Linked DNA regions of Drosophila melanogaster. Changing the gene in region 2 together with the main gene of any one other region gives a genetic interaction. Each region holds a gene or a part of one and is shown on either strand. Other genes may lie near its edges.

Evidence for each region.
Region 1: of Kr-h1 (region 2) and oc, changing one suppresses a phenotype caused by changing the other (phenotypic suppression), as found in Drosophila melanogaster (one study listed by BioGRID).

What each region holds. Positions count from the first base shown.
Region 1 is NC_004354.4:8,647,681-8,652,603, reverse strand, and holds the start of oc (ocelliless), read left to right. Parts: upstream 1-1,922; 5' UTR 1,923-2,229; exon of another isoform or gene 2,230-2,510; intron 2,511-4,923. UniProt on the Drosophila melanogaster protein: Transcriptional regulator involved in pattern formation and cell determination in the embryonic CNS and larval imaginal disks.
Region 2 is NT_033779.5:6,089,688-6,097,027, reverse strand, and holds Kr-h1 (kruppel homolog 1), read right to left. Parts: upstream 5,617-7,340; 5' UTR 5,460-5,616; coding exon of another isoform or gene 5,208-5,459; 5' UTR 4,929-5,207; coding exon 4,784-4,928; intron 4,034-4,783; coding exon 3,321-4,033; intron 3,236-3,320; coding exon 1,875-3,235; intron 1,791-1,874; coding exon 1,472-1,790; 3' UTR 530-1,471; downstream 1-529. Other genes in the region: CG45075 (uncharacterized protein), read right to left, coding at 5,208-5,459. UniProt on the Drosophila melanogaster protein: Plays a general role in the hierarchies of gene expression leading to metamorphosis.

The DNA of each region.
Region 1 (4,923 bases), on a different chromosome or scaffold from region 2:
TACGCGTTAGTTACTTACATATACTCCAAAAGATAAGACCTATAATTGTTAAAGTCTTATTTCAATTTTGGTTTTTCACAATTGAAATTGAAGTGAAAAAAAAAACAAACTTCCTATTGAAAGTTTAAATTAACTATTTGTAAATTGTGTAAGTAAATTACAGTTTTTGTCTAACTAAAACTTTTTCATTTGCGCGCAGTTTTTGCCTCCGTGAATTTTACTCCAAAAACATTTTACATTTCCCCGCAACATTTTTCATGAAAATTAGGTTTTTGTTTTATTTCATTTCGGGCTCTCTGTACAATTTTTTTTTCGAGATTTCCCGTTCGTTGTGTCCGAGTCCCAATTTGTGCGCTAAGCTTTTCCCCTCGAAGGGTAATTGCCTCATGTTTCATCTACACATCAATTAGCCGCAACAATTTAATTTGCCCGCCTGGAAATGGGAAAAGTGCGGTAGCTGGATAAAAAAAAAATAATAAGCACACAGCAATTTCAACAAGAAAAATCCATAAAATATTTGTGCAACATTTTCTCGCCGCCCAAACCTGCGGGCCGTTAGTGCGAGTGAGATGGCCAAACAACTGTCGTCAGCTATTTCAAATTGTCATAAAAATTTGATAAGGTTTTTTCCGCTGCTCCCCCAAACCACCCAACTCTGCGAATTTTTATTCCTGCGTCAGCTACAAGGCAAAAATATAACAGAAAAAAATGTTTGGGCACAAAAAGTGTTGGTTGCTCGAAAATATCATTTACAGTTAGACTGCCATGGTAGAGAATTTATAAATAAGCTAATTAATAATTATAAGCTAGTTGAAAATTAAAACTAACAAAACCGCTTTGCAAAACTAAATCATAATTATAATAGCTATATCTATTGAAATCATTTATTAAAGACCTCTTTTGAGCAATTCTTAGCCCACGAATAGCAAACTAGACTTTAAACCCAAATCCACCTTAAGTTTCGATTCTTTTCGCCTCACTTTGCGTAAATGATAATTGAACAATGGGGGCCGCCCATTGGGGCGAAAGAGAGGGGGCGTGCCAAGTGTGAGTGGCTGGCTCTCCCCATCCCTGTCGCGCTTTCGCCGCTGGTGTTGTGTGTGCATGGCAATTTGCGACGCAGAAGTAGAAGAGGAGGAAGCTAAAGAAGAAGCAGTAGCAGCAGTAGCAGCAGCAGTAGCAAAAGTAGCGGTACTGACCAGCGTCCTTTAAACGCCCGTCGCCACCTACCCCCGTTTCCTTATCTTTCGCTGTTAGCTAACAAATTTTTGCGTTGTTTTCGCTGTCTTGTCGTTTTCATTAAAATTTCATTGCTGCCGCGCAAAAATACGAAGGTACGTTGTTGCTTTTTTTTCCTCCTTTTATGACTATGTATTTTTTGCTCCTCGTTTTTTGCTCTTGTGGCAACAACAAAGTTGTTGAACTGAATTTTTTTGGGGTGTGGTCCCACACTCAAACGCACACCAGCAACGTACACACACGCTCATACACGCGCGCACACACACGCGCAGCAGCAACAACACAGCGGTAAATACAGCTGCTCAGCAAACGGTACCACCAGCAGTTGTCTCGCTCCCACTCAGTCAGGTTGTAAGCGGCGTGCGAGAGAGATGCCGCAAGAGAGTGAGAGAGAGAGAGAGAGCGAAATACTGAACGACTGGAACGGAGCGAAACTACGGCTATCTCACTCTGGCGCGCGGTAGAGAGCCGGGCAGCCATTGCTAAAAGCAGGCACTCACTCGCTCTCCCTCTCGTTTCCACCACCGCTGGTGTTTGTTTGTTGTTTTTTTCCTGCTTCTTCTTCCAACATTTTTTCTTGTTGTTTTTCTTTTTTCGCAGACTCTGGTCGAACGACTTTTGCTCTGCCCGCTGCTCGCTGCGCTGCTGCCGCCGCTGCCATCGTCCGTGGAAGGTGTACCGCAATTCATTTCCAGAGTAACTTTCGTGCCGCTCGGGTTGTTTTTGTGCGTCGTCCGTCGCCCAGTTGCTCAGTTGCTCATTCGCCCCGTTCGCCGCTCGTTCGATCGCTCTCGCCACTCGCCGCGTTCGCCGATAAGCAAGCAAGCACCAGCGCAAGCCAATAACAACAATCAATTCGCCGTCGCCAAACCGAATCAAATCAAATCGAAGCAAACTAAACCAATCAAACACAAATAAACAAATATCAACACGAGAAGCTATAGCTAACACAGCTATAGAGAAACAAAGAGCCCCAGAGGAGAATACTAAGTAATACAGAGAGATATATCCTTTTGGATATAACGCAGTGCCAAGTGACGAGAATCTGTTTTTTTACCGTGTTGCCAGTGCTAAACCATAAACATCGCCCAAAAAACATACATCTCTGGAATACAATATTTATATATATATAAATATACATATATATCTTTATATATATGCATGTGTAAAATATACTCATGCCATAACCATATAGTAGTTGGATCCGAAAACAAGTCACCATTGGAATACAGCACCGTTTTGCTTCTAGTTTTGTTTGTGTTTTTTTTTCGGTGAGTGCGATCCGCCGATATCGAGAAATCGGTAGCAATCTATATATCCAGCAAGGAATGTGGAGCCGAGAGATAAGCACGGATTACATGGGGAATCTGTAGACCTAAGTAGTTTTTGGGGGAGCGGGAATCTATCTTAGGGATTACTCTTATCAACTTGTTTATTTAGCAGAGATATTAGGTCACAAGTCTTACATTATCTATGACATATTTGAAATACACTCTTTAAACTTGGAATAATATTGAAAGATCTAACACGCTGTAAAGCTTAATTATTTTCTTTTTCGTTATCGCTTCAACTTTATTCTTGAGCCAATCTTCATTCTTCATTATAAAGCTCAGACTTTAGAGATATGTTATAATATGTTTGGTTCACTATTTTCGATTAGCCGAACTTGACAGATCTTTTGTTTTTCACTTACACTTCTACATATATTTACAAGGTTAAAATGTTCTTCCAAATGCTATAATCAACCGATATTATTTTGCCACATATACTAGTCTTTATTTAGCTTCAGATTCAATGGATCTTAGAAGTCTTTAATTGGAATACTATTCATTGATTTCGGGGACTCCCAAGTCCAACAATAGAGTTACCTATTCCATGCCCGAAACTTTGTTTCAGTTCCTTCAGCTCTTCGTGATATGATGGAGCCTTTTTTTTAAAAATCTGGTTTCGGTCAGGAAATTTCCGCCTATGACTAATGTGCTGATCGTAATGTGAGAAAATGCGCGTTTCGGAGATTCGTTATGATTTTCATAATTTTAATGGGCATATTAAGGCCGCCTCCCCTAATTAGGCAAAACAAAAAGAAGCCAGCAAGAGCCGACCAAATCGATACGAGAAATGTGATATAGAAAAAAGGCTAACAAAATGATAGGGCCAACGGCGAAGAAACCCCAAGAAAATCAATACTAGATACAATAGAAGACAGCCGACGGACCCGTTCGGGTCACATTATTCACACATATTCCCAACATCCCCACATCACCACATTCCCACTTCCCGATGTTAGCGATCGGATCGTCTAATTTCAAAGCGGCGGCTATAAATTAAAATATCTGAATAATACGTTGACTCCTCGCTGGCTACTTTGTTGTTCTGCTTTATTATTAATTTGCATATGGTTTTCTAACATAAAGCAACTGAATATTAAATATGCAAGTCGATTCATTTTTCTCCCATTCCGATAGTCTTTCTCCATTCGAATCAAAGTGTTGAGAATGGGATTCGGATTCGGCTTCAGATTCGGATACGGAGTTCGTGCAGTTGGTGTAGCTGGTGAAGCTGGTGGGGATCTCTTGGGATCTATTCGGTCCCACCCACGCTTGTGCTTGCTGGCCCTGCCTAGATCCCCATAGTATCACAATACCTCAATGTACCAATCTTCCAATGCCAATTCATTCATTCACAACATCCGCCCAGCGTTGTCGATTGTGAATTGAAAGTCGCCGAGATCGCGTCGCGACACATTTGATACCTTATCGCGGATATCCATAAAGCTCAGCGAATAAGTGAATTTCGCTCTAGGAAGCACTGAAAAAAAAAGTACTCGAAGTTGTAGATTCACATAGCAATGGCATAGCTAAACATTAGATCAAGAATTCATTGGAAGTACGTTGGTTCGATATGCTTGTGGGACATGATGTGATAGATATTACAACTAATAGTATTTATCAATATGTTAGCATTCCATATTTTGTACTATTGATTAAGTATTGAACAATACTAGTAGTTCTAGCCTATTCCATAGTGGTTTTTGAGTTATATTTTAATATGTGGGCATATTTTCGCTCACTGTGAAACGGTATCCATTGTTCCGCTTCCCTAGCACGCCCCAAATCTTTCGGATCGGTTTGGTTGCGATCAACTCGAACTCCCACACACTTGGCATGGGTATGGATATATATGCTCGTACCTGGGAGATCGGGTGTTGCCTTTTTTTTTTTTTTGTTTTGTCGTCATCTTTTGTCAATCTCTTGTGGCGTCGCCTCGCCTTAAGTGAGGTTTCATTTCGTTTCAGTTTATTTCATTTCATCCAGCGTTTCTTGGACTTGGACGCACTTACTGACTTTTTTTCTCCCAATTTTTTTTTTTGCCTACCAATTATTTGTATTATTAATTTTTATCTCTCTTCACTCTTTGCTCATTACGCGATACTGGCGGTGTTGTTGCTATTCGCTTCTCAAATTTCGTTGACAAAGCCATTTAAATAGAAATCACTCAGACGGAGGTTTATTTTTTTTTTCAGTTTTCAGTTTTCAGTCTTCAGGTTCCATTTCCAGTTTCGACTTATCAAGATCACATTGACAATGCGTCAAATAATAAGTTTTTCTAGCCGCTGTCGTTGTTTTTCTTGCTGTTTTTGTTTGTGCTGCGATTCGACTGGAGCTCTTTACTCTATTAGTCTAT
Region 2 (7,340 bases):
TTAAGTGCATAGTTTGTGCCGGCTGCCTTATCTCTTATACTAATTGCAATGTTTGCTTAGTTGTATCATAATTTGTTTATCTCTCTAGCCACCGCAAACGAAGCCTTGCTCGTTTGGCAGCTTTGCCCGTTGTACATGATTTTTAAAATTTAATTAATATTTCATTTATACAAAGGCAGACAGGAAAACTGACTGCGTCTAGTTGAAGCAGTCAAATGAATTGTAAAACCATTTTTATAATCAAAATGTTAGCTAATCGAACTGTGGTGGGTTTAGCACACCATTCGTATAGTCACAAGTGAATGATATATAAAAATGCATTCAGTAATGAAATTTCGATGTTTTATTCGCATTCAATGAGGTGGCAAACATGGTAAAATATTCCAACGAGGGTTATTAACCTCCAACATTGGTGCATCTACATTTTCATCACCGAATTGGATCGAGTTACTTCATCTGCGATTTCTCAAGCGAAATGGGTAAGTTTTTTAAATTAAAACGCCCCATTAAAATACACATACACCGAATTGGTTTATTTCACGCTTGTTTATTGATTTTCAGATTTCATTTGCGTTTTTTCATGCAATATTTGATTTTAGAATTTAAATCTATGTATTAACTCTGCGTTTACAAAAACTATGCTGACGCTCTTAATTATATTTGTTATCTTCTGGTTTGAAAATGTATATAAACGTAGTTATGCTTGCTTTCTTCTTGTTTATCAGTTCAATATTCTCCGTGTGTAAAATTAAAGTTACCGATCCTTTTTCCTCAGTTTTCCCTTATTTAGTGTATAAAATGCATATAAAATGATGGGTACATGATGTCAAAGATGCCGTTGACACTAATCGTGGAGGGGAAGGAAGAAGTTTGGCGAGCAGAGTTCATAATAAATAAGTATTATATGTATTTTATAAATATTAAGCGCCAATATGGCCATGGTTTTTCGTTCTCATTAATATGTGTATATATGTAGTTATGCGCGTAACTTATTATTGTGTACGGTTTGGATTTGGGTTTGGGTTTGGGTTTGGGCGTCGTTAAGTGATCTTTTATATATAATTAACTTAGTTATATGCTAATGCTTAATACGCATAATGCCAATTGCTGCAATTTGACTAAGTGGACAACACAGGAAAACAAACTATACCTACATTGTATATGCCAAACTAAAATGAAATTTTGCAATATGGGTGAAACTATTTTCAAATCAAACATTCAACAAAACTCGGATCAAGCCAATAAAACGTAATAGGAGGTAATATTAATTTTAAAACAAATTTTTCCCTTTTTTAATACTTTTGGCATTTTCATTTTCGCTGCTGGAAAACTATCTCACTGCCATATCCATACGTTTCTATGCTTTCTTTTTCCAGGCCTAACCCCGAACCTCAGAGAAAAAACTTAGGCTAATTTCAGTTAGAATTTGTTTGGACAGTCTTAATGCTGATTGGGGATCGGCCTTGGACCCCTAGGAGGCCTTGGCGAACTGAATGACCGAGCTCATTCGCATCACCTTGGACCCGGGTCCATCCCCGGCGCCAACGGAAGCGGCACCACCGGCGGCGGAGGTGCCATCTCCGCTAGCCTTCTCCGAATCCACCTGACCGTCGTCGCCCTTGTTCATGTAGTGCTTGCGCTTGCGCAACGGCAGCGTCATCACGTTCCGGTCGGCCATCATCAGGGAGTCGCTCTCCGGCGAGGAGCTACGTTCCGGCGACTCCGTGCTGGAACGCAGGCCGATGGCCGCCTCCACGCGTCGCACAACGTCCGGATTGGGTAGAGCGGATCTGATGGGAATAGTAAGCAATTCGATTTAGTTATACTCTTAGACAAAAACACAAGCATCCGGCTTGGGGGACCAAAATACTCACTCATATTTGGGCACTGGTGCATAGCCCTTGTGCAGCCCGTGGCGAGCGAGATCACCACGCTTGAAGTGCTCGATCAGCACGGTGGCTTCATGGGTGTCATCGTAGTTAGCCGCTAGATCGCTGACGTGCAGAGTGGGCACCTGTGGCTGGTGGCTTGGCGCCGGCTGCTCCGTTGGGGGTAAGGAGCCGTGGCCGCGGCACAACTGCATCATTTGCCAGGCGGCTGCGTGCACATCCTCATCCTGCACCTGGTCATCGTTGTCGTCATGGCGACGCGCAATGCTGGCCGCTTCAAGCAGGGCAGGATTGATGGTTAGACCAGCGGGTTGTGGCTGCAGTTCGAGTAGACTTGGCGGTGCCTGGTAGTAGTCCACAGTGCTTTCTGGCAGCTGACCCTGGACCTGTTGCATGCTCAAATCTGTGGGCTCCTCGTCTGCATAGGTGCTGTGGGCGGGCTGGGCGCTGGACACGCCGCTGTCCCGGCTCAAGGCATCCGCCTCCATCTGGACGGGCAGGTAGTGGGCCGATGTGGGTGGTGGCGAGGCCATGCTGCTGGCCGATGGCGAGTATGTGGAGCTGAGTGAGCTGGGCGAGAGCGGCGAGGAGGTAGGGATGGAAAGGGTGGCTGCAACGGTTTTGGAAACGCGCGGCTGGCGAGCCTGGCGAGGTTTCTTTGTGGCCGGTGGCGAGCTGGGCGGCGAGTGGTTGCTGCTCTCGGAGTTGCTGCTGACTCCTTGCAAGGACGGCGATCCGGCGGAGGAGCCTGCGGACGTTGATGCTGCTGCCGACGCAGCCGCCGCCTCCGCTTCGTCGTCGGGTACTTCGTTGGCATGGCCCTTGATGTGGGCCTCCATCTCCTTCTTGTTCTTGAACGTCTCGTCGCAGATGGTGCACTTGTAGCACTTGGAGCCGTAGTGCTGGACGCGATGCAGTTTCAGCACATGATTGTAGCCAAAGTCCCGGAAGCAGATGTCACAGTGGTAGGGCTTCTCGCCCGTGTGCGTTCGCGAGTGCACCTTGAGCTGCTTGGAGCAGGTGAAACCTTTGCCGCATCCCGGCTCCGGGCACTTGTACGGCTTCTCGCCGGTGTGCGTGCGCATATGGATCACCAGCTGGCCGGACTGGATGAATGTCTTCTCGCACACGGAGCACTTGTGTGGCCGCTCGCCGGTGTGAATGCGCATGTGGCGGTGCAGCTTCCCGGAGTGTTCGAATGCCCGTCCACAGACGTCACACTTGTACGGACGCTCCTTCGTGTGGATGCGCCGGTGCACCTGGAGGTTCTCCTTCACGCTGAACAGCTTGTGGCAGAACTCGCACTCGAATGGCCGTTCACCAGTGTGGGTGCGGTAGTGGCGGATCTAAAAGCGAAGGAGATATATTACTTATTAATATCACTGATATGGTGGTCCAAATATTTCAAATCTCTGTTTTCGTGACACTTACCAGCCTGGCGGGTACGGCGAATGTTTTCTGGCAAACATTGCACTGATAGGGATCTGCTCCGGCGGCCACGTTGGCCAGCGGCTTGATGGTGGGGCTCTTGGGAATGCCCACCGGCAGACCGGCATCATTGAGCTCGATGGCCGCGGTTGAGACGGGCGCAGCAACGCCGGCTCCAGAGGCGCCATTAAGCGACAGATCTTGGTTCTTCGAGTGCGACTTGGTGTGTGAGGTGTGGGCGGACTTGCTGCCAAAGGTCATGCCACACTGGTCGCACTTGAATTGCGGTTTGCTGGCGCTGGGCTTGCGCACCTGCGACACCACGGCTGCCGACGCTGGGAATCCGCCGACGGGCTCTGTCTTGATCCGCTGGGCTGATGGAGCTGCTGTGGGTGCTGCGTTCGTAATACTTTCATGTTGCTGCTGTTGTTGCTGCTTCTGATGCTGCTGGATGGCCAGTTGGTAGCTGACAAACTGCTGCTGCTCCTGCTGGTGCTGGTCCTGTAGCTGCAGTTGCATTTGTCGCTGCTGCGGCGTCTGCAGCAGCTCGAAGTGCTCCTGTTGGCCGCCGGATGGCGGAACTCCTAGGCCCACGCTCGTGGTCGTCGCTGTTAGTGGAGGCGGAACCTGGAGGCAGAACTGCGCCTGACTAGATTGTTCCGTTTTTATAAGCAGCTGGTTGGCGGAATAGTAAACCATTTTGGTTGTGGCTGAATCTGGAAGAGGGCGAAAAAGAAGGAGCCGCATTAGATTTTTGACCATAGTTAACTAGTTTGATACCTGACCAAAATAGTTGGTTCTAAATAGACTTAAGTAATAATACAAGAAATTATAAATTAGATACTGCTTATTAGTTATATTAGCAACCTATTGTTTGGTTTTTGTGGTTCTACAAAGCCAGCTTAACCATAGTATAAGGTCTAACTCCTTTGCCCCCCATCAATTCACAATCTGCGTCTCAGGAAAAACACGGAAGCAGATAGAAAGTGCAATACGGGTGGTTAGGAAAAGTCTCGTAAGAGCCAAAGGAAAAAAGGGCGTAAAGGGGAAAACCCACCCCGTGAATTTGTGCTACGCACTTTCTGTTATTGCCGGCCGGGGTTTTCCAAAATAAGGAAAACCTAGCGAGAGCTTATGGGGGGAGGAAAAGCGAAGGCGCAGGAGAGTGAGAGCCAGAGGAAATGGGAAAAATTTCATTGAGAACCCTGCCTCGAAAATGTCCCACTTGGGATATTTGGGAGATAGCATTACGAATCGTACGGTTTCCAACCGGCATTTCCCGTTGCCATCCTGCTCGCTCGCACTTTCTGTATCAGTCGCGCTGTTGTATTTTTTTTTTTTTTTGTTATGATAGTATGAACGAACCCCACAACTTCCCCCAAAACAAAAATTGCGTATACCAAAACAAAATGGCGTCGTGAGGGAACTTTTTCGGTCTGAATTTTTAGGAAAAGCATCTCAATTACCTTTCGCCGGCGATTTTTTGACGGCAACAGCCTTTGCGGGACTCTTGGATATATCGAGCAGTTCCGTGCCCGATTTCTTGAGAACATCCTTAATCCAAATTTGTTTGGGTGCCCAAGATTTTGTATCATTCTTGCTTTCAGTCATCTTGCTACTGCTCCATACAGGTTTTCCTCCTAATAATACTTTTTGATTGTTCAAGTCAAATCATTCAATTGTAAGCAAGTCTAATTTATAATATAGTTTATAAGTTTGAAGAGATCTTTTCTTATTCAATGTGTATACTTGTAAATTTATTCATTGATTTGAGTTTACAAAATCAGACTTTAGCGCTGAACTCGTGTCAGTTTTTCAGTATCAGTCCCTCGATTTGTATATCAGCAGTCTTAAGATTTATTCATTCATTTAGCTCGTCTCATGACATTTTTAGACAAGGATTTTCATTTGACGCGTGATTTTCTCCTTGATCAGGTTCTTCTTGATGATTTTGATGATTTTCTTCAAGTCCTTCGACTGTTGCACGGGATAGGTGTGTTGGTAGTGTTGCATATTTTGCGGAGGCTGCTGTTGGTGCTGATGATTGCGGTATTGGTGGTGCTGACCGCCCTGGCCCGAGCCCTTGTTCATACGCATTTTTCTGAATGATCTCAAAATATCGTTCATTGAAAAGTCGGTCATTTTCGAGGTGTGGACCACACACACACACACACACACAAGCACACGCACACGCACAACACCCGTACAAACAACACTTAACGGAGTAGAATGGGATTCAGATTATGTTCACATCGCCGCTCCCGAGGTTTTCGGTTCGATGGTGTAACGGAGACTGGTGGGTGAGTTCCCGAAAAATCTGCCTCAAACCCTGTCACGGAAAAATCAACCACCACCAACAAGAATGGTCCCATTGGATCTGAAATTTCCCTCAATTGGAAAATGTTTGAGTGCGATGACAAGGGAAATTTTCGAGTGTTTCTTTTTTTTTTGAGTTTGAGTGGTTTCGGACTTTTCCGATGACATTCTCTTTTATGGAGCACCAAAATTTCCCCGAGCTCAGGGAAATTTCATTGGTATCTAAGTTATCTGCGACGTTTATTATTTCAGACTAATTGAAAATATGTACATATACAAGCATTGAATAAACTTTGAACTCTGAAGTGATTTCATTTAAGTGATGTAATTAGTTGGGTTTTCATTGATAAGATTCTAGCATTTGAGTCATAAATGCAACGAATTAGGCAATAAGTTCTGATAGTTCTTATCGCAGTCTTATAGTTATTATTCTTTAAAGTACCAAAGTCCAACTTGCTTGCCACACTTAGCATACCAATTAACTAACAATTGCGGCAACTATACGTTTAGAGGCTACAAAATCTCAGGGATATATTTTGAGCAGTCCATCTATAGAAAGCCAACGACCAGTTTCCACCTTCAACAAGCGAACATTTATAAGAAACCCTCCCAAAAAACAGAATGAGCACGAGAAGCAAATGTTGAAATACAAAAGTTTCGGTGAAGGCAGGTTCAAAAAACTTTATCGGCTTTCGTTGTTATTGTGTCTGAATGTTTATTCGGCTGGCTGTGCGTTAAACTAGCGCAAAAGTTCATTAACATTCGACACAAAAACTATTTTTGAGTGAGTGCGGTGTTGTTGGAGGGCAGAGAATGATCACCGATCCCCCGATCCCCCGATTCGTGCGCTCGTGCTCTTTTGGGTTGCCCGACCAAAAAGTTTCTGAAGGTATGAACGACACAATATTTTTTGAGGGGGAAAGACACAATTATCTCTTATGAGTTGCTTCCCAAAACGGGGGGCAGCTAGAATGGGAAAAACGAGGGGAGGGGATTCAGCTGCGGTTCGGAAAAGTTAAAGTGCCGTTATTTTGTTGGGATAGCTCTGAAATAAAGCGACTTAAAACTGGTCTTTAATGGAAGTGATCGCCGTGTTTGGATAGATCAGTAAAGTTGCTTGGCGGTCAGTATGAAAGCTAGATACAAACAGATACCAGATTGAACGTGAAACGCTCAAACGAAACTAAACTAAACTAAAAGAAGTATTTATATTAAAATTATAATTAAATTCACTTCGGTTCACTTCCAAAAATACACCCTATTTACACATGCATAGCTATTTTACACGTGGAGATACATACGCAGAGATACAGATACATAAATTGAGTTGGTTTGGATTCGGTGTTGCTTTTTGGTGTCTTCTTTGTGGACTTTTGATGGGGTCATTGAACACTTAAATATAAGCAAATTGTAAGCTTTTCACTTCGCTTCCCCCCTCGAATCGGATTTTTTTATAAAATTACTTCTGCTCCCGTCGAGAGTATCTATTCCAACCGGAGGATCGCGTTAACATTTCACATACATATTCTAGCTAAGGTTCGATGAGCCCCGATAAGATAAGGCAATATAACACGACACGTTCGCCGTTTTTCAATTCATAGGATGTCCCTCAATGAAATTGTACGCTAAAGTTAGGGCTCTAGGCAGACTTATCAAACGAGAACTATCAACAGCGATAAGATATTGAAATTAAGCGAATGAAATTGG